Drosophila melanogaster: one gene and its partners. The protein of the gene in region 3 interacts with the protein of the main gene of each other region in a pairwise test. Each region holds a gene or a part of one and is shown on either strand. Other genes may lie near its edges.

Region 1 (6,589 bases), 5.1 Mb from region 3:
TACCAGAGATTTCAGCCGGACCGAATTTAAAAATTGTTGTGGTTGACAATCAGCTGTTTAAAACAAGTGTTGGACAACCCACGTGCTTTTACACGGGTGTAGGTAACAGTTCTTTGAGAGGAATCTAGATTTAGTGATATTATTTTTTAAAAGTGGTAAAAGTGTGGAATATTTTATAGTTACAGCGTAATAACTTAAATTAATATATACGTTAAGTTTTAGTTAACAATCTTATGCGACCCCCTTGCTACGCCTGTGTCCGCCCGAAACCTTTGGCCTTTTTTAGTGCATTTCATAAACGCACAACAATTAATTTAATTTTTGTATTCTTGAATTAGAATCTTAGATCCTGGCTAGATCATGTCCACGAGGTGGTATCCCATCTATCAGCGCGGCAATCCGCAGCTTCGCGTTTTCCTTCCCAACTTCTGGATGAAGCTAATCCGACCCACGGAGGAACAGCCACCCAATGTGGTCACTTTTTCGGTGTCCATGGAAATGACCAAGTACGATGTGCGTAACTATCTGGAGAAGATCTACAAGCTGCCGGTGGTGGATGTGCGTACTCGGATTGCCATGGGCGAGACCAAGAAGGATCAGACCTACGGCTACATCACCAAAAAAGACGACGTGAAGCTGGCTTATGTAACATTGGTATGGCCCACTACAAGCCCCTGATTCAATGGATATTTCCAATGATATTTGTGTATTCCAGCCCAGGGAGGAGTCCTTTGTCTTCCCCGACTTCTTTTCCGAAAAGGCTGAGAAGCAGGCCAAGGAGGAAAAGTCGCTGGATGAATCGAAAGCCGGTTTCCGCAGATTTCTGGACAGGAACAAGAAGCGACCCGGCACGCCGGGCTGGTTTTCCATTTAGTTTTTAGTGTGTAATCGTAGTACTTTTCGTTTCAACGGGTAAATAAACATTTATTTCGAAAGTCCGAATTAACCTAAAGCTCAGCTTTATTTGCGAGGAGGTCAACCTCCACTTTTTTTTTGGGATTTCTCAATTATTACTTGGCCTGTTTGACGGCGGCGGCAACCCAGGCCCGGATTTTGTCCTCGTCCTGGAGTCCCACCATGCGCTGCACCTCCTTGCCGTTCTGCAGCACCACTAGCACGGGCACGGCGGCCACATCGTAGTCCAGAGCCAGTTCGCTGTGCTCATCTATGTCCACCTTGGCCAGCTTGATGGAACCGGCCTGTTCGCCCACAATACTCTCGATGCGCGGGGTTAGCAGCTTGCAGGGATTGCACCAGCTGGTGGATTACAATATAAACATTAATTTGCCATGTCCTCAAATTGAAAATATAAAAATTACGTTGCGAAGAAGTCCACAATCACGGGCTGCTGGCTGTTCTTTACTTTCTTGTCAAAGTCCTCGGCGCTCTGGACTTTGAAGATCTCCTGTCGCGGCGCAGAAACTGACAGCATGCGAATTTGCTGGCCGCTAGCCAGGCGACGCGTCGTCTGTCCCAGAATGTTAATAATCTGTCGCTGCATGGCTTATTTTCTACAATTTCTCAGTGCAAAAAGTTCAGCGATTGATTGCAAAATAATGACAAGAGAATCAGAACAACAACAATGAGTGTGGTGGGGTTGCCAGATGGATTGGTATTGCCTAATGATGTGTGCACACACTGTTTCATTAACTGTTACTTCCCGGTCATGATAATTTTGTTTTATATTATTTAAGTTAAAAACTTATATTTATTAACCATAACTATGTAATCTTTTTTAATTTTCAATTTATGATTAAAAAATGAATAACGATATTTCGTTCTCTCAATCTATCGAACTAGTTGGCATCTCCGTTGAGAAAATAATCAGCAATTTCATGGTGTGCACACATTGGCTCTCCTTTTTTTGAGAAGTAGTCTTGTTTTGTTTTGTCGTAATAATATCCCAACTTTTCGGTTAAAATTCAAGTGTTACAATCGCATTACGGTCCGTAATCATCGAAAGGTTAATTGGCGCACATAAAAGGCGGGTATAATCGTCTTAAAACCCCCGTACCCTCGGGTCAATTACGGAAATTGTCCAGCGAATTTCGCAAATGACCAGTGGAACTTTAGTAATTCAGTCAAACTGAAGACCCAGGATCCGGGAAAAAGTTATCAGTATGGACGACCTGTCGCAGGGCGACATTTGCCGCGTGTGCAGATGCGAGGCACAGCCGGATAGGCCTCTTTTCTACCCGTGCATCTGCACTGGATCGATCAAGTACATTCATCAGGACTGCCTGATGTTATGGATGCGCTACTCGCACAAGGAATACTGCGAGCTGTGCAGCTACAGCTTCAGCTTTCAGCCCATCTATGCTCCGGATATGCCGCGAGTCCTGCCGATAAAGGATGTCCTTGTGGGACTGATGTCCGCCGTTTTGGAGGGCGCTCGCTGCTGGCTTCATTACACCCTGGTCGGTTTGGCCTGGTTCGGAGTGGTGCCGCTGTCTGCCTACAGGACCTATCGGTACCTCTTCCGGGCGAGCTCCTTCGATATGATTCTCACGCTGCCCTTTGACATCTTCTCCGTTGAAAACCTGGCATCGGATGCCTTTCGGGGCTGTTTTGTGGTCACATGCACACTTTTGTCCTTCATAGGATTGGTCTGGCTGCGCGAGCAGATCCTGCATGGCGGCGGACCCGATTGGCTGGAGCGGGACGATGCCCCTCTACAGGCAGCGGCTGCTAATCCTGCGCCTGATCCCGCCGCCGAGGCAGCTCCACAGCCTCAGGACGACAACAACAATGCCGACGACAATGAAGCGCCGGCTCCAGCGGACAACGATGGGCAGGATGCCCAGGCCCAGGATGCCGCACCAGCGGCTGCAGCTCCCGTCGTGGACGCCGATGCCGATGAGCAGAATTGGAATCCCATGGAGTGGGATCGGGCTGCCGAGGAGCTTACCTGGGAACGCCTGCTCGGACTCGATGGCTCGCTAGTTTTTCTGGAGCACGTCTTCTGGATCATCTCACTGAACACCATGTTCATCTTCACCTTCGCCTTTTGTCCCTACTGCGTGGGCAACTTCATTCTGAGCTCCATGGATCTTTTGCAGCCCGAGAAACCACTGCTACACTTTCACGGCCTGATTACCACGCTATTTGGTTACTGCTGCATTGGATTGACCCTGGTGGTGCTGCACTTCTTCTCCAGAGTTTTCCGCCTGCGGAGAGTCTGCTGGTTCATTGGATTGTGCTATATTGTGGTCAAGGTGTCGCTGCTGTCGGTGTTGGAGATCGGAGTACTCCCGCTGATTTGCGGCTGGTGGCTGGACATTTGTTCGTTGCCCCTACTAGATGCCAGCCTCAAGGATCGTAAAGAGAGTTTTAAGGCTGCTCCGGGCACCTCACTTTTTGTCCACTGGATGTTTGGCATGGTATACGTTTACTACTTCGCTGCGTTTGTATCGTTGTTGCGCGAGGTGCTGCGACCGGGAGTGCTCTGGATATTCCGCAATGTCAACGATCCTGACTTCAGTCCCATCCAGGAAATGATCCATGTACCAATTGTGAGACACATCCGGCGGCTGGTCGCTTCGGCTATGATCTTTGGATTTGCAGTGCTCTTGATGCTCTGGCTGCCCATTAGAATTCTGCAGGTGGTTTGTCCGGACTTCTTGCCATATGCACTTAGTGGCGATTCAGCGGTTAACTTGCAATTGCTGCTCTTACAAGTAAGTTACCCGCAAACTTATTTGAATAACTTAAACAATCTAAACTCGCCATTCCAGATCGTTTTGCCGGGCTTCTTCGAGCAGACCCAAACACGCATCTGGCTAAAGGGCTTGCTGCGCATTTGGTGCACAGCGGTGGCCTGGTTGCTGGGCATACGAAGCTACCTGCTCCCAGCACCGGAGCCGGAACCGGAAATTCCCGCTGCTGGAGAAGAAGGCGTGGAGAATGCCGCTGGCGAAAATGAAAACCAGGAAGGTGAGGCAGCGGATGCGGCAGCCCAACCACCAGCACCACCTCCTCCACCGCCACCGCCAGTGGAACCGGCGCCGGCACCACGAAACCTTGCCGCCGCCCATCAGGCCATCATGCAACGGGATGCACCCGTGGGATTCCAGCCGTACGACAAGCCATCGCTGTTCGCTTTACGTTTGTGTGCCCTGTTGGCACTCATGTGTTTGTCCATCGTTTGTGCTGCCATGTTGACGCTCACGGTTCCAGTCTACATCGGTCGGCGGCTGATGTTGATCTGGTCCTCCCAGCCGGATGAGAAGGCAGCTGGAGCGGCAGCCGCAGAAGGAGCGGGCGAAGTGGTTGAAAATCTAGATCCAATCGATCCGGAAGGAGCCAGAAAGAACGAGCGACTACTGCGCTCGCATGAGCTGTACACCGCTGAGCTTGGTGGTTACCTGTGCTGGATTGTCTGCCGGGTAGTAGCTGCGGTGGTCACCCTGCTGCCACAAGGCCGCGCGGCTATTGTCGACAAGATAAAGCACTGGGTCCGAGTGGCATTGCAATATGCCCTGCCCGTTCTAACACTCCTGGGAATCTTCGTGCTGGTTCCGTTGCTGATTGGATTGCTGATCGAGTTGGCGGTGGTCATTCCCCTACGCGTTCCACTACGCAAGACACCAATCCACTTCCTATGGGAGGATTGGGCGCTGGGAGTGCTCTACTGCAAGATAGCCATCGCCTTGACGATGATGGGCCCAGATTGGCACTTGAAGCGTGCATTAGATCGAGCCTACATGGATGGATTGCGCGATTTCGACTTGAAGTTTGTGATGCGAGACTTGGCTGTGCCGGTCGTTACTACCATTGGTCTGGCCCTGGCCATACCCTATGTCATGGCACATATGATGTTTCCGATTTTCCTAGCGGACGCCTATGCTCAGCATGTCGTCGCACGGCTCGTGTATCCCGTAAGCTTCATTGTGGTGGGCAGCATATGCATCCTTTTGTTCCAGATCGATCAGCTGAAGAAGCTCTATCTGTCCATCAAGGTGGATAAGTACCTGGTGGGTCAGAGGCTGGTCAACTATGAGCACCGCAAGAAGCAGCAACAGCAGCAGGAGGAGGAGAAGGAGCAACAGCGGGCGGCCCGGGAATTAAGGGAGAACCAGGAGAGAGATCGGGAGCGAGAGCGGGAACAGTTGGTCCAGGAGCTCGAGTTGGCTGAACTTCTGTAACGAGATCAGGTGCGAAGCGTAGGTTTTTCAGTTTCTAATATGTGCGACAGGAGGAGGGGAATCAATAAATTATCAGCTCATGGAGGCTATTAGGTTCTCACGTTTAAAATTGTTAAACTCTTTGAAATATTTAAGTTTTTCTATTGATAATAATGATGGCAATCTTTTGTTTCTATCTTAAGAAATTAAAGCATGTCCAATTTCTATTTAAAGATTTTTATTTCAACCCGACAAGGAGAAGGACACCAGAATGTTGAAGCCGTTGAAGTATTCGTCGTGCTTTTTCGTCGTGGAGATGCTTCTGCTGCTAATATATATCCCCTGTTTAGTATCTATTGCTCTGCGTTACGCAAGGATTTGGATTTGGATTTCGTTATAGCTTAGTACCTTTGTTTTCCCAATCTTATTATCCTTTGCAATACGATTAATTTGTTAGCTGCAATTGTTGTTAAATCCTTACGCTGCACAGTTTATAGATCCTAAGTTGTATGATATTTTGACTTCCGCCACATCCTTACAAGCACTTACAGAACTAAACGATGGGCAGCGATTAAACCTTGTATTAGAGACGTATGCAGAAACTACATCTGAGAGTTGTCAACTTTAGGAACTTTAGAGAAACCCCAAAAAAAAAAAAAAACCAAATCCCATATGGTAAAAGTGGTGAAAAATGAATGGATAGTGGAATAGAAAAATGAACATTTTCGAGTTAGCTTTACGAACTGTAAAAATTACATATGTAACATTATAAATATAACTGATTTAAAATTAATTAATAAATTAAACTTTAAACTTCAAAAGGAGCATTCGAAATTGTTTATAGCTGATGGGGACACAATATTCCTGCAAACAAATTGATCCAGGCATCTGTTGTGCCACGTCGAAAAGTACAAGAAATATATACAGACAATTAATCAACGTCCAAACATATTAAATGAAGCACCATAATGTAAGTGGAGTCAATGGATGAGCGCTTCGCTCAAGTGAGCTAATCATTGAATTCCTTCTGTGTTGGCCATGAGCGAAGTGAGGGGCGATGTCAATCATACGCCCTGTGTGCCACCGGCAATTGACAGAAACGAGTCTCGCCCACGGCAAACGGAGCGTATGAGGGATGACCAGCTGGAGGGAGATCGACAGCAGGGAGATTTCAGGATGTACGCCCCGAATATTCCTTGTTAAAAAAAATGCTGAAAAGTTGTTCGCTTTCCCCCAGAAAGTTTCGACTGTTGCGAATTTGTTGTGCGACAAATAGAATAGAATAGAAAACAGAAATCGAAAACTTTTCAATGTTTGCAACTTAAATTGTTTTGTGGTTTGACATGGCCACGACGACCGCTCCATGCCGCACAGAAAGCCAAGTGGCTTATGTGCCGTGGCTATTAAAATGTATGGCAGGTTCTCATCCACCGCCATTGCCCATCCATGACTTGGCCAAATTAAAC
Region 2 (3,600 bases), on a different chromosome or scaffold from region 3:
TCTAATATTTGATTGTGTTTTTAGTCCTGCTGCCAGTGGCTTTAAGTGTGTTTGTGTGCGTGGCAGGCAGGGGATGAGTGTGTGTGTGTGTGTGTGTGCGCTGGGCCCTGGGAAATGGGAAATAATGCGCCTAGTGCCAGCTCCAGTTGGCAGTTTGTTGGCTTTCAGCTTTGGTCGCTAATTAAGCCTGTTTATCGAAGTAAGTTAGCTGTTCAACTTTCGCTCCACAGCCCCCCCCCCCCGTTCCACATCCTTCGCCAAGATGATCGGCTCAGTTTAGTTTAGTTTTATCAGCTAACTAAATTAGCTGTCTGCCTGTCGGCATATGTATGCATTGTATATGTATATGAATGGCTGTGTATATGGAGTATGGATGAAGTGTCGCCACAACTGAATTGGGGAGCGTTTCTAAGTGCTGTAATAAAGCGATTCACGCAAATGCCTTCGAGTTCGGCGCTTTAATTGAGTAAATTATTGGGGGAAATGAAAATGGTTGGCCAGATGCGAGCAACTTTGTGGCCATGTCTTGCTGACGTGCGGTTATCGTGTGTCACTCGCCTGCGGAAACGGGCTAAAAAGTGGCTCTGCGGTTTGCTTTGGTTATGACAATTTATTGGCCGCCAGCATTAATTAAACGTTAGTCAAGGTCAGGAAACCGCAATTAAATAACGAGCGGATAGTTGAGGAAAAGCGCTCACATGCAAAGTGAAATGTGTGTGTAGCATGCCATGCCATTTTCCGGGCCAAAAGGGGTCGTTTGTAAGCCATCTGAGCTGAACTTCACCTTTGGCCAAAAGTTTGCACACTGCATGCAGTTTATTTGCTTCATTTGAGCTGCTGACTGCCGAATTGAATTGAATTTTGTACCGGCTGCGCCAACTATTTTATCCACTGAAATAAATCGCCGATTAAGCTTAAGTGGAAGCAAGTTTAACTACAGGAAAATTGGAACTATTTTCTGTTGTAAAACTCGCTGCAATTTGTATTTTTCCCATGTCTCCGAATTCGCAATTGAGTTCGAGCATTGCAAAAAAATTGCAAAAAAAGGCGTAAACATGAAAACAAAGCAAAAAAAAAAGAAAATGTTGAATGGAACTATTTCCGGTCCATTGGTTGGCAAATATTTGCTACATTTGTTTGTCATGAAAGCGGAAGAGATATCTTCGGAGCCCAGAAACTCATGACAATTGCGGCAAGATAAATGTGCCCAGCGAGGCGCATGATTATTAATATTATTACGCAGAATTTTTCCATTTTTTCCTGAATTCGCCAGATTTCATTCAATCCATTGAGTGCCGAAAAGTGCTGGAAACTTTCGTCCGAGCTCGAATGGAATTTGAATCTCCTGCGAGTAGCTCTGCAAACAGAGGGCCATGAATCAAGCAAGTTGAGGAGCGAAGCCCCTGGCCAAACAATCACTGCCCCCCCTCTGGACAGCTGGGTCCTTTTGCTCCTGATGCCCCACCAAACTTGTTTTGCACTCTGGGGTCTGAGCACTTGGTCCTGTGGATAAACGTTGGACTCACTTTGACGAGTCCCCTCGTCCTGTTTTCTCCCATCCTGCCAGAACTACGGAACTAATGAGTGGGTTTGACCATACATACTACATTCACTCCCCCAAAGTCATAATCACATGCACACAGACGAGGAGCATCAGGTGCATAAGTCATAAGGCTTTTTGGTGGGCAGCATGGGAGCAACTCTAATTTGCAATTAATGAAGCGCAGAGCCCAGAGATTATAAGCGAATTTCGGAAATTATAAGCTCTAATGGCAAACAATTAGATGTTGTGCACTAAGAGAACATCAGATAAATAGCACAATTCATATCCTATATATCCTGCTGGTTTATTCACGAAGGAATGAACAACCCACTTTTGTGAATCATTGTTTTCAAGTGTGAAAAGATGTTTAGAACACGATCCGCTCTTATCTTGGCGCTAATGTTGAATAGTGTTTACCATTTTCGCACATATGACACGGCTTGTTTTTGGCCAACTGATAAGCGGAAAGTGGCTCGGACGAATTCCGCTAATTGGCAGGCGATAAGCGATGTGTCCGAGAAAAGGGGAAATGCATGTAATTGACTCTGCCGCCGATGGGAGGGCCATAAAAGCAGGTGATGAACGGCGGGTTCCGGCCACAGTTAACTTGAATCTCGGCCAGCTAAAAAGGAGACGATGGACGCGAAGACGTTGATACTGTTGACCGTGGCCGTGGCCATATTCGCCTGCCACACGATCGCACAGCCACATTACATTGAGGTGTCCGAGGAATCAGAGGAATGGTGTCCACCAGAAAATAACAATACCGATAATAACAATCCGAATAGAACCGATCACGACTCCGCCCTGTGCGCCAACTTCCAGCACATTCGCGCTATGATCAATCAGGAGGCCCTGCTCAATCTGATCGAGGTGCACTACAATTGTGATCTGAAGTTCCGCCGCGCCATGCGGTACTACAACACAGCCGGATTCGAGAGGACCACCCAGCAGCTCACGGATACGGATGCCTACAAGACCGTTCTCAAGGAACTGCAGTCGGAGAGCGTGGATACCGCCGACATTGAGACCGTGGCGGATATCTTCCATTGCATCATACTGCCCGTCCGCCAGCCCGATCGCAACTGCGACTGCAAGGCCGTGAAGCACCACACCTTCGTCGGCGATCTGCTCTCCATCATGCCGAAGCAGGAGGTGCACAACTATGTGGCACAGTCCCAGGCGAATCACACCAACTTCGGCAACTTCACCAAGGCGGTGGTCTCCAAGCAATTCCAGGCCACGCTCAAGGCCAACATTGTGAGTAGACCCACTCGAGTTGAGTACACAAGAGTGTGGCAGTGTATTAACTCCTTTACTTCTCATTCTCACTTCCTCAATTATCCTGCAGAACAAGCGCGACGTGGTGAAGCCACTGCGCACCCTGCGCAAGAACGGCTGGGACATCCCAGAGCTGCTACGCGCCATGCTGACCATCTTCCAGTGGTGAGTGGAGTACTCGTAGCCGGAGTGGAGTATTCAATGTGTCTCCATTGTATGTATGTAAGCCCAATAAAGCAACAAGTGAAAGGAAACTGTTCCGCAGAAGCGAACTCACGGTTGACACCTGTCCTGTTTGTTGGGTGCGGAATGTTGTGTGGCAGTGGGTGGTGCAATTACCACCCGCCGTGCCCGGTAGGACATCAACAAGTTTTCAGTACGGCCTCGTCGCCTTCAGCGGGCTCCACTTGTAATTGGCATCCATGGGTGGTAACTGCAGCGGAAGTGTCGAGGAAGGAAGGATTCGTGTTGGAGATAATCGATCCACGACATTTTACGTGGTTCTTTTCATTTCAAACCATTCCGCCTGCAGCCATTTCCATTTCCATTACCCGGAAAACCTGAAGTTGGCAGCGTATATTGAGGCTGTTATCTACAACTTTCTTGAAGTAACTTTGCATTATTACTTAGGCAGCTCTGGAATATTTGAAATTTGTTCTTTGAGTCGCGGAATTCAAAAGTGCGCCATAGTATATTTTAAATTGTTTGATTTTACATTCAGCCACGGAATTTCTTTGGCACACAACTTACACCTTAAAGCCAATTGTATTACTAGT
Region 3 (8,042 bases):
CGATTACAGGTTACATTCGGGAAAATTCAAATGTTGCTTAATGAAAATATGAACAATTGGAAAAAGCAAATGTCATTTACCAGCTGCCAAGAGCAGCGACTTATCAATCTGCCCGATTGATATAATTTCATAAGGCGACCTTTGCCCCCGCCCACAACAACAAAAAAAAAAAAACACTTTCAATGTAGTGCCACGCCCACCCACTGTGACAGGAAAAACTTTTGGTGCAAAAAAGTAATAAAAAGTAACGGAAAGCGTTAGCTTAATAACAAATGGAAAGCGGAAAACGAGAGGGCAGTGCTGGTCGAAAAAAAGGGAATGATAATGAAAATGAAAATGCATAAACAGAAATCGTTGACAAGGCGGTGGGCGGAATGTACTGGGCGCTTAGATGAAGGACGGCTGCGTGGAAAACTCATTAAAACTTTTCACAGCCCATTTAAAAGCAATTTGTAAATTGTAAAACTTGCACTTGGACCGCGCAAAGTCGGTGAAAAACGTTAATAATTATTATTTATACTTTCACGCCAAGCATAATCCATATTGTAAGCGAAATGTAGGCTGAGCATTTTAATACAATTAACTGTTTGTAATTTGTACATCAATTTTCTCAAAATGCTTAATTGGGAATCAAACATTTAAACATAGCATATATCCTGACAACAAGCTTACAAAAACATCTTTTATTATTAAAAAAAAAATCTACAAACTTTAAGCAAGGTATTTTTTTGAAAATACTGTAATTAATCATTCAATTGCTTGCTAAAAACTCAGTTAAAAAAAAAAAAAATCCTCAAAGAGAATGGTGCACTCGGCAATCTGCCACTGCCCATTTCCGTGGCATCTTTTCAGTCCGGAAAATAAGGGCTCGTCGCAATCACTTTGAGCCCGTGGAAAGGCTCACAATCGCAGACATTAAATCAAATTTCCGCACAATTCCGGCAAGGGGTATGCGAAAAATTGTGTTAGCTGCGGTTGGCTTTCCTTCGCAGCCTTCTGCTTATTTTACTTCCACTACCGATGCCACAGCGCCACTTAAATATTCAAAGCGAAAAGTTGCCCTACACCTTTGCGTCTTGGCTGACTTTCCCCTGTTTTCCGTGTTTTCTTTTCTTTATTATTCAAACGCCGCTTTTCATGTGCAGTGCCCAAAAATTCCCACAGGATGCAGTCAAAGGCGGTGGGGTGATTAAGGGTTGGTGTGGGGTTAGGGGCGAAAAGGTTGATGGGTGAATTGTATTTCACATGTGCAGTTCTTTAAACGTTTTTATAGCGCTCATCTCGCTCATGCCCCACACGCTTTACATTGTGGGCAAGAGTCTAGGCAATTCCCTGGAGATATTATACCTTTCGGTTAGGTTAGGATAGCAAAGAATGTTCAAAAACAATATAAATAAAACAGATTAATATATTTAGTACAAATTCAAAAGAACCGCCTAAGTGGTTTTTAGGGCTGCCAGACAAGAAAAAAATTCGTGCACTCTGGTTTGAGTCAATGCTAACAGTGCTGTATTCTTCTTTGTGTTTGCCACTGAAATAATAATTTGGGTATTTTAGGACATTTTGTGTACTATATGCTGAGCTGGCAACTTATCTATTTTGTAGACATATGCAGCTATTATATTTTAAACTTCAGACAAATTAATATAATATATTATATTTTAATCTTAAGACAAGTTGTTATAATATATTTTTGTTATAATATATTTTAAGCTTCAGAAAAAAGGTTATTTATCTGCATATTCCAATTTTTGTAATCGTTACCAAACTCAATAAAATAATTTTCAACTGCTCCATACAATACATATCATTTTTGACAGATCGCTTAATTTTTGCTTTAAAACGGAATTTATTTATCAATACCTGCTAGTTTAGCTTTTTACAAGATGGCATTTGGCTGCTCTTTCACTCCGAGAGTTGGCAACACTGCCACACTGTCAAATTCCAGTAATTATTCTCGTCCACTGCTGTTGTTGAATTGCAAAGTCGCTCGGCGCGTTAGCATAGAAGCCCAGCATATATTTGCCCGATCCGAAAGCAGGCGGAGATCAGTGAAAACGTATACATATTTACCGCTAGTTGAGCAGTGCGAAAACGTGTCCGGAAAAGCCAAAGGCCAACGACAGCGAGTGCGAGCGAGAGAGCAGGTGACAGCGACACCGACAAGATTCCCCGCCTTCCCCCCTCCACCAACGAACCCTTTTCGACTGTTTTTTTGCACGGCACGGGGAAAACCGAAAGAAAAACGAGATTTTCAATTGATTTGCGACGCAGTCCGGCCGGAAAATGCTCATAAACCTTAAGGTGAAGACCTTAGATGCGCGCATCCACGAATTCAGCATCGACAATGAGGTAATGTTTGAGGTTGTGTGTCCAGGTCTAGGGGCTTCTTTATATCCATGCACCCCACCCATTTCCAGCTCACCATCCGCCAGTTCAAGGACCAAATAGCCGAGAAGACTAACATTGCGGCGGAAAACCAGCGTATCATCTACCAGGGTCGCGTTCTGGTCGATGATAAGCAGGTGAAGGAATATGGTGAGTCATGCCCCCGGGAGCACCCACATATATATATGCACTTATATCTAATACAACAATATCAATGCCCATGCAGATGTGGATGGCAAGGTGCTCCATGTGGCCGAACGACCACCATTCTCGCAGCGCGGAGCCAATGCCCGCAACAATGATGAACCCATGCGAACCTTCCGCAATGTGGCACGTCCGCCGCCGCCCGGAATGCGTACTTCTCCGTACTTCCGCGCCCTCGATGGAATGCTGGTGGGCACCATGGCCATACCGGTGAACAATGGTCCAGTAGCTGGGGTAAGCCATTAAGATGAAAGCTCTTTCAACACGCGTATTTAAACGTATCTTAGCAGACACGTCCTCCACCGAATCGTTATCCCAACTCGTCGTCCTTCTGCATTAACCGCATCACGGTCGCCCTGCACATGATCGATTGCGCTGACAATATAGCAGCTTATCTGGAAAATCCTGCCGTTGGCCTGAACAATCAATCACTGGACATTCTGCAGCGCGGTCGCTGGTCGATGGAGTCCACAGTCGTGGAAGTAGGTGTCTCCTCGACTGATCTGCCACGCAACAATAACATCATCGATATGGTCCAAGATGCCGTGACCGCTGCTCTTTCGCATACAGGAGCACGCAACTATACGGTGGTTCAGCTGCCCACGGTTTATACCAATGAGAATGGCGAGACGAGCCAGCAGAGAACAGCCGAAGCTATAACAAGTGAGGGAGCAGCCAGTGGAGCTGCAAGTAATGCTAGTGGTGAAACCACAGCTGCTACTGTGATTATCGAGGATGTTATCGAAACGGACGACGAAGTGGCCGATGGAGCATCAGATCGTTCGGTCACGCCAACACCAGAGCCGGAGGCGGAAGGAGCAGTTGGTGGCCAGCAAGTCACTGCAGCAGAGACTCCCACATCCTCGGTTGGATCAGCAAATGACGCGGCTGCCGAAGGCGGCAACAACTCAGGACCCAGGCGACGCACTCGTCCTCAGGTGTTGGCCCAAGTTATTCAGCACTATCGTGGCGTACAGGCTCGCTTGGCGCCTTTTGTTGATCGGTACTATGAGATTCTCCAGAATGATCCCACTTTTGAGGAGAGTGTAAGTTAATAAGCCGAGCTCTTATAAGCCTATTAAAACATTAAATTCCTTTTTTAGGACACCGATGGTCGCGAGAACGCACAGCGCATCTTCGATCGCGTCTCGGAGGCTTTCCACTACCTTTCGCACGCCCAGCACGCTATATCCGATTTAATGCTTGACCTGTCGCAGCCAGGGCCACGTGTGCTCACCTGCCGACCCATTCTCGTTGAGCAGAGCGGTTACATACGCTCCAATAACATCTTCACGCCCAACTTTTTGGCACCGCCCTCGGGTATTATCAACGAGCCTTTCCGCAATAGAGCACCTGGTTCTGCCTCTGCAGCTGGCACTCAAACGGCCACCACAGCGGGCACTCAAACGCCCACCAGCGCGGGCACTCCAACTGCTGTGGCACCTTCGCAGGCTGCCAATTTGCAGGCGGCCACCGATGCCAGTCGCAGTGCAGCGGCCATGGCGGAGATCGCCAGTCGAGCTGCTGGAGCCGCTGCGGAAATGGCTGCCGGAGCTGCCAGTGCGGCTGCTGGAGCTGCGAATGCGGCTGCCGCCGCCGCTCGCGATTTATCCAGTGATCAAGTAGAGGATCCCATCGACGAGCCTATGGTGGGGCCAAATGCTGCAGGTGCTGAAACACTAGCACAAGAGCAACAGCGTCTCGAAATGGGTAAGAAACTTTATACAAACACTGTATGCAGATGAGGCTGTGCAAAATCAAATTCACTCATGGCCTTAGACAAGGAATTCGTGTCTCTGAATCGTAAATATTCCCGTATTATTTGTTGAAAATATTCTAGATCACGACCACGATCAAGCTCAAAGTGAAACTCCCGAACGAGAAACCCGACCAGTGCCTAGGCTGCGTGTCTATGTGCCAGTGACTTTGCCACCGCCCAGTATGTTTTGATTGTTCGGTTGAATCCAACGCCTCAGTCATGGCAGACTAACCATAATCTTAGCTGCTCACTCACTGCATCCCTACTTTGGTTTCACTTTCACTTTGCTAGTTTGATTCTTTTACTGACCCGGCCCTAAACAAATTAACCCTTGCTATACTGAACGCTTCAAAGAGCTGTTACTGCTGCTTTACAGATCCCCAATTGGAAATGGCCCGAATTATTCAGGCAATGGTCAATGGTCAACGACCGAACGATATCCATGTGGAATTCAATGCCCCCAACGTCATGTCGATTAACTTGCCCGTGCATGTGATGACGACCGTGCGACAGGCTCCGGCAGCTGGATCGAACGAAACAGCAGATCAGTCTGCGTCCGAATCCTCCTCCCCTGAAAGTGCGCCTGCGTCGGGCAATGGAGAGTCTCCAAATGCAGCTTCAACATCAAGTGGAACACGCAGTGGCGATCAGAGGGCCAATACCTTGCCCACCACGGCCACCCAAACGCGCTCGACATCAAGACCACAGATTCAGATTGGCGGAAACAACAACTGGGGCGGACGCATTGCTCCGACACACACGGCATTCGACCGCTTTCTGCCTTGCAATAGTCATCACATTCGGGAACCAGAGCAGCTGCTCCAAAACAACAGTACCAGTCGCAGCACCTCGACAGCACCAGCAGGAGGAGCCACCGTTGTTCCGCCCACATCTGCTGCAGTAACTCGTCCTGGTGAGTACGGCTCCCATCCGGGGAAATCTAGCAAACACTACCTTATGTCCACGATCCATTTCGCCAATCCACCAATCCATTTCATTTGCACACTCACCAACCGGAGATGGAAAGCCAAGTGTATCAAAAACCTGTCGGATCAGGGCGCGATAAATCTTTAAATGCTATACGATTTTAAAATTTTTACAAAATTTAATAGTTAACTATACTAAAGAACTATTTATTTGCTATCTCGACCTCCGACTGGCCTCCATCTCTGACATTAATTTCCATTTTATCCATATCATCATTTAGTCACCACTGGTCGCATCCAACGCGGCAGTAACACAATCCGCCCAATGTGGTCGTCGCGTCGCCAGCGACCAGCCAGCGAGCAACTAAGCAACCTGGGACCGGCAGCCTGGGCGCAGGCGCAGACCCAAACAACTCATATACCAAGTGCCCACGTTGGTGCTGGCAGTACCAATGGGGCCGGAGTCGGAGCCGGGAGAGTGCGGCCCGTTGGAGGATCGACCATCAATCGTGATCGGCTGGCGACTCGAACGGCCCACGTTGGCGGTGGCAGCACCAACGGAGGCTTGCCCTCTGGCCGAAGGGGGCGACTACAGGCCGCCACCAGTCGCCTGTCCAGACATTTACCCACCCAACTCGCTAATTTTTTGATTAATAATATGAGAAATAATGCGCCAACAGCTTCGGTAGGCAGTGCAGTTGCCGCCGTCGGAGATACGGCCGCCTCACCATCAGGAGAAGCTGCCCCAATTGCTTCAACCACGCCAGCTGCTCCGCTACAAACTGTTTTGCCGACATCCACACCCACTCCTCGCGGAGACTCGAACAACCTGCGTTCGCAACTGCGCACCTTCCTCAACGACAGCCTGTTTGTCGGAGTACCCATCAACGAGCAGACTATTCCGGGGGCCATTGGTCGCGCACTAGACTGGTTCGGGGAGAGCCTGGTCTACCTGCCGCAGTACGAGCGTCCGGAGTACAACTCGCGCGACTCTGTGTGCAACATCCTGCGTGTCAGCCTCCGTTTGATCATCGAGCTTTGTAATGGAGCTCCGGCCGGTGTAGATAGTGCTCAATTCGAGCAAAGTCTCAAACAGATTTGTGACCAATTCCGCAAGCGGCTATACAGCGTTCTCTTCCTGTGCCTTGGAAGCGCGAATGCGGAGCTCTATTGGCGCCAGCTAATGCGCCTCCTTTGCGCACCGATGCGATCCAGTAAGTTGACACCAAAAGTGATCGTAAGTATACTGGTTAACTCAATATTTCTTTTGCAGACTTCCGCAACGAAGCCCTGCAGTTTTTGTGCATCTACATAGACCCCACGATTCCCGCCCAAACTGACACAGTGGATGCCCAACAGTTCCTGGTCTTGCGCAGCATTCAAGCAGCTCCTCCAACAGCTGCCGACGAGGTAGGTTTCCAAACTATTTTCCATGCCCAGAAACTTATGCACTAATAGCCATTTGTGGCGCCGCCTCCTTTTGCTTTCAACCCACAACAGCAGCAGCTGCAAGAGCAAACTCTGGACACGGATGTTGAGATGTCCGAAGTGACCGCCAGCGGCAGCAACAGTTCACCGGCAGACGAGCTACCAGCTGTGATTGTGGGCTCAGAGCCTTGGCACATGAGTTTCCCCAATGATTGGTTGCCTGTGATAACGCGCGACCTACAGACCCAGGCAGAGGTAGGTTATTCCGTACAACTTTCTGGAATTACACTAAACTATGTCTCAATCTATGTATCCTGCAGCAGAGTAATCGTCCCCAGCCGCCCTTCTCGGATGCCTACATCTCGGGCATGTCCGCCAAGCGCCGCAAGATAATTCAGTCGGAAAAGCCGACTGCCAGCGTGGAGTGTCTCATTGCTAATGGAGTGCAGAGGGCTATCCAGAGCGTCGGCTTGGGTGGAAGCAATGGTGGTAGCGCCTTAAACGCGTCGATCAGTATGGATACCGTAATCGGATCCATTGCTCACGACTCCACCATTCAGGCCGCCTACACGGATGCGGTGCGCAATAGTTTAAAAGAGCGTACCGAGCGGGATGTGGATTTTAAGACCAGCAAGTATCCGCAGATTGCCAAGTTCACCGAGCAAAAGTAGGGGGCAGATACGGAGACGGAAGCCTGGCCACCTAATGCTTCTTGTACATTTTACTTTAATAAATTGTATTTAATTTAGTTAATGGTTAAGTTCTGTTTAAATCGAGAAGACGACGAAGATTGCGACAACACCAACACACGGAGTGGACCCTTAGCAAATGCTTCAAACTATTTAGAATAATAATATCCAACTGATATTTATCCACACACACACAGAGATACACACACACAATGGGTCAAGACGCAACAGAGCCCAATCAAAAACAATTTTTGCGGTGCATGAATGAGCAAAATAAACACACATATTAACCGAAACAATGGCGATTGGAATTGGATTAAATGGACTTGGATATTAGACCACACACCGAGCGGAATGCTTTCAATTGTCCCAAATGGCGGTGGCGTCCCCGCGTCGGATGACGTGCTGCAAAATCAGAACAGACCCGTAGACCCGTGACGACAGCCAAATTCCGAATTCCAGCCAAGTATTTTGGCCGGCGCCAAATCGCCATTGACGTGAGCCGATGGCACATGATTGCTGGACGGCCGATGACGACCAATCCGGAATGTGCAGATCTATTCAAGTGGATAAGCCTTCAGCAGAAGCATTACCGGAGGCATATCCACACCATCCCATCGTACCAGCAACCCGCACCATCCCATTTCA

The links.
Region 1: the proteins of CG7546 (region 3) and CG1317 interact in a two-hybrid assay, tested with the Drosophila melanogaster proteins (one large-scale study listed by BioGRID).
Region 2: the proteins of CG7546 (region 3) and CG3906 interact in a two-hybrid assay, tested with the Drosophila melanogaster proteins (one large-scale study listed by BioGRID).

Annotation. Positions count from the first base shown.
Region 1 is NT_037436.4:2,367,194-2,373,782, reverse strand, and holds CG1317 (uncharacterized protein), read left to right. Parts: upstream 1-1,843; 5' UTR 1,844-2,120; coding exon 2,121-3,677; intron 3,678-3,734; coding exon 3,735-5,144; 3' UTR 5,145-5,153; exon of another isoform or gene 5,154-5,357; 3' UTR 5,358-5,940; downstream 5,941-6,589. Other genes in the region: mRpL23 (mitochondrial ribosomal protein L23), read left to right, coding at 361-654, 716-874; CG8993 (uncharacterized protein), read right to left, coding at 1,011-1,257, 1,320-1,501.
Region 2 is NT_033778.4:23,510,780-23,514,379, reverse strand, and holds CG3906 (uncharacterized protein), read left to right. Parts: upstream 1-2,154; 5' UTR 2,155-2,179; coding exon 2,180-2,803; intron 2,804-2,894; coding exon 2,895-2,993; 3' UTR 2,994-3,094; downstream 3,095-3,600.
Region 3 is NT_037436.4:7,509,091-7,517,132, forward strand, and holds the start of CG7546 (uncharacterized protein), read left to right. Parts: upstream 1-1,895; 5' UTR 1,896-2,286; coding exon 2,287-2,352; exon of another isoform or gene 2,353-2,420; coding exon 2,421-2,538; exon of another isoform or gene 2,539-2,614; coding exon 2,615-2,826; exon of another isoform or gene 2,827-2,879; coding exon of another isoform or gene 2,880-2,882; coding exon 2,883-3,638; exon of another isoform or gene 3,639-3,695; coding exon 3,696-4,302; intron 4,303-4,432; coding exon 4,433-4,531; intron 4,532-4,727; coding exon 4,728-5,264; intron 5,265-5,558; coding exon 5,559-6,491; intron 6,492-6,550; coding exon 6,551-6,687; intron 6,688-6,735; coding exon 6,736-6,960; intron 6,961-7,025; coding exon 7,026-7,376; 3' UTR 7,377-8,042.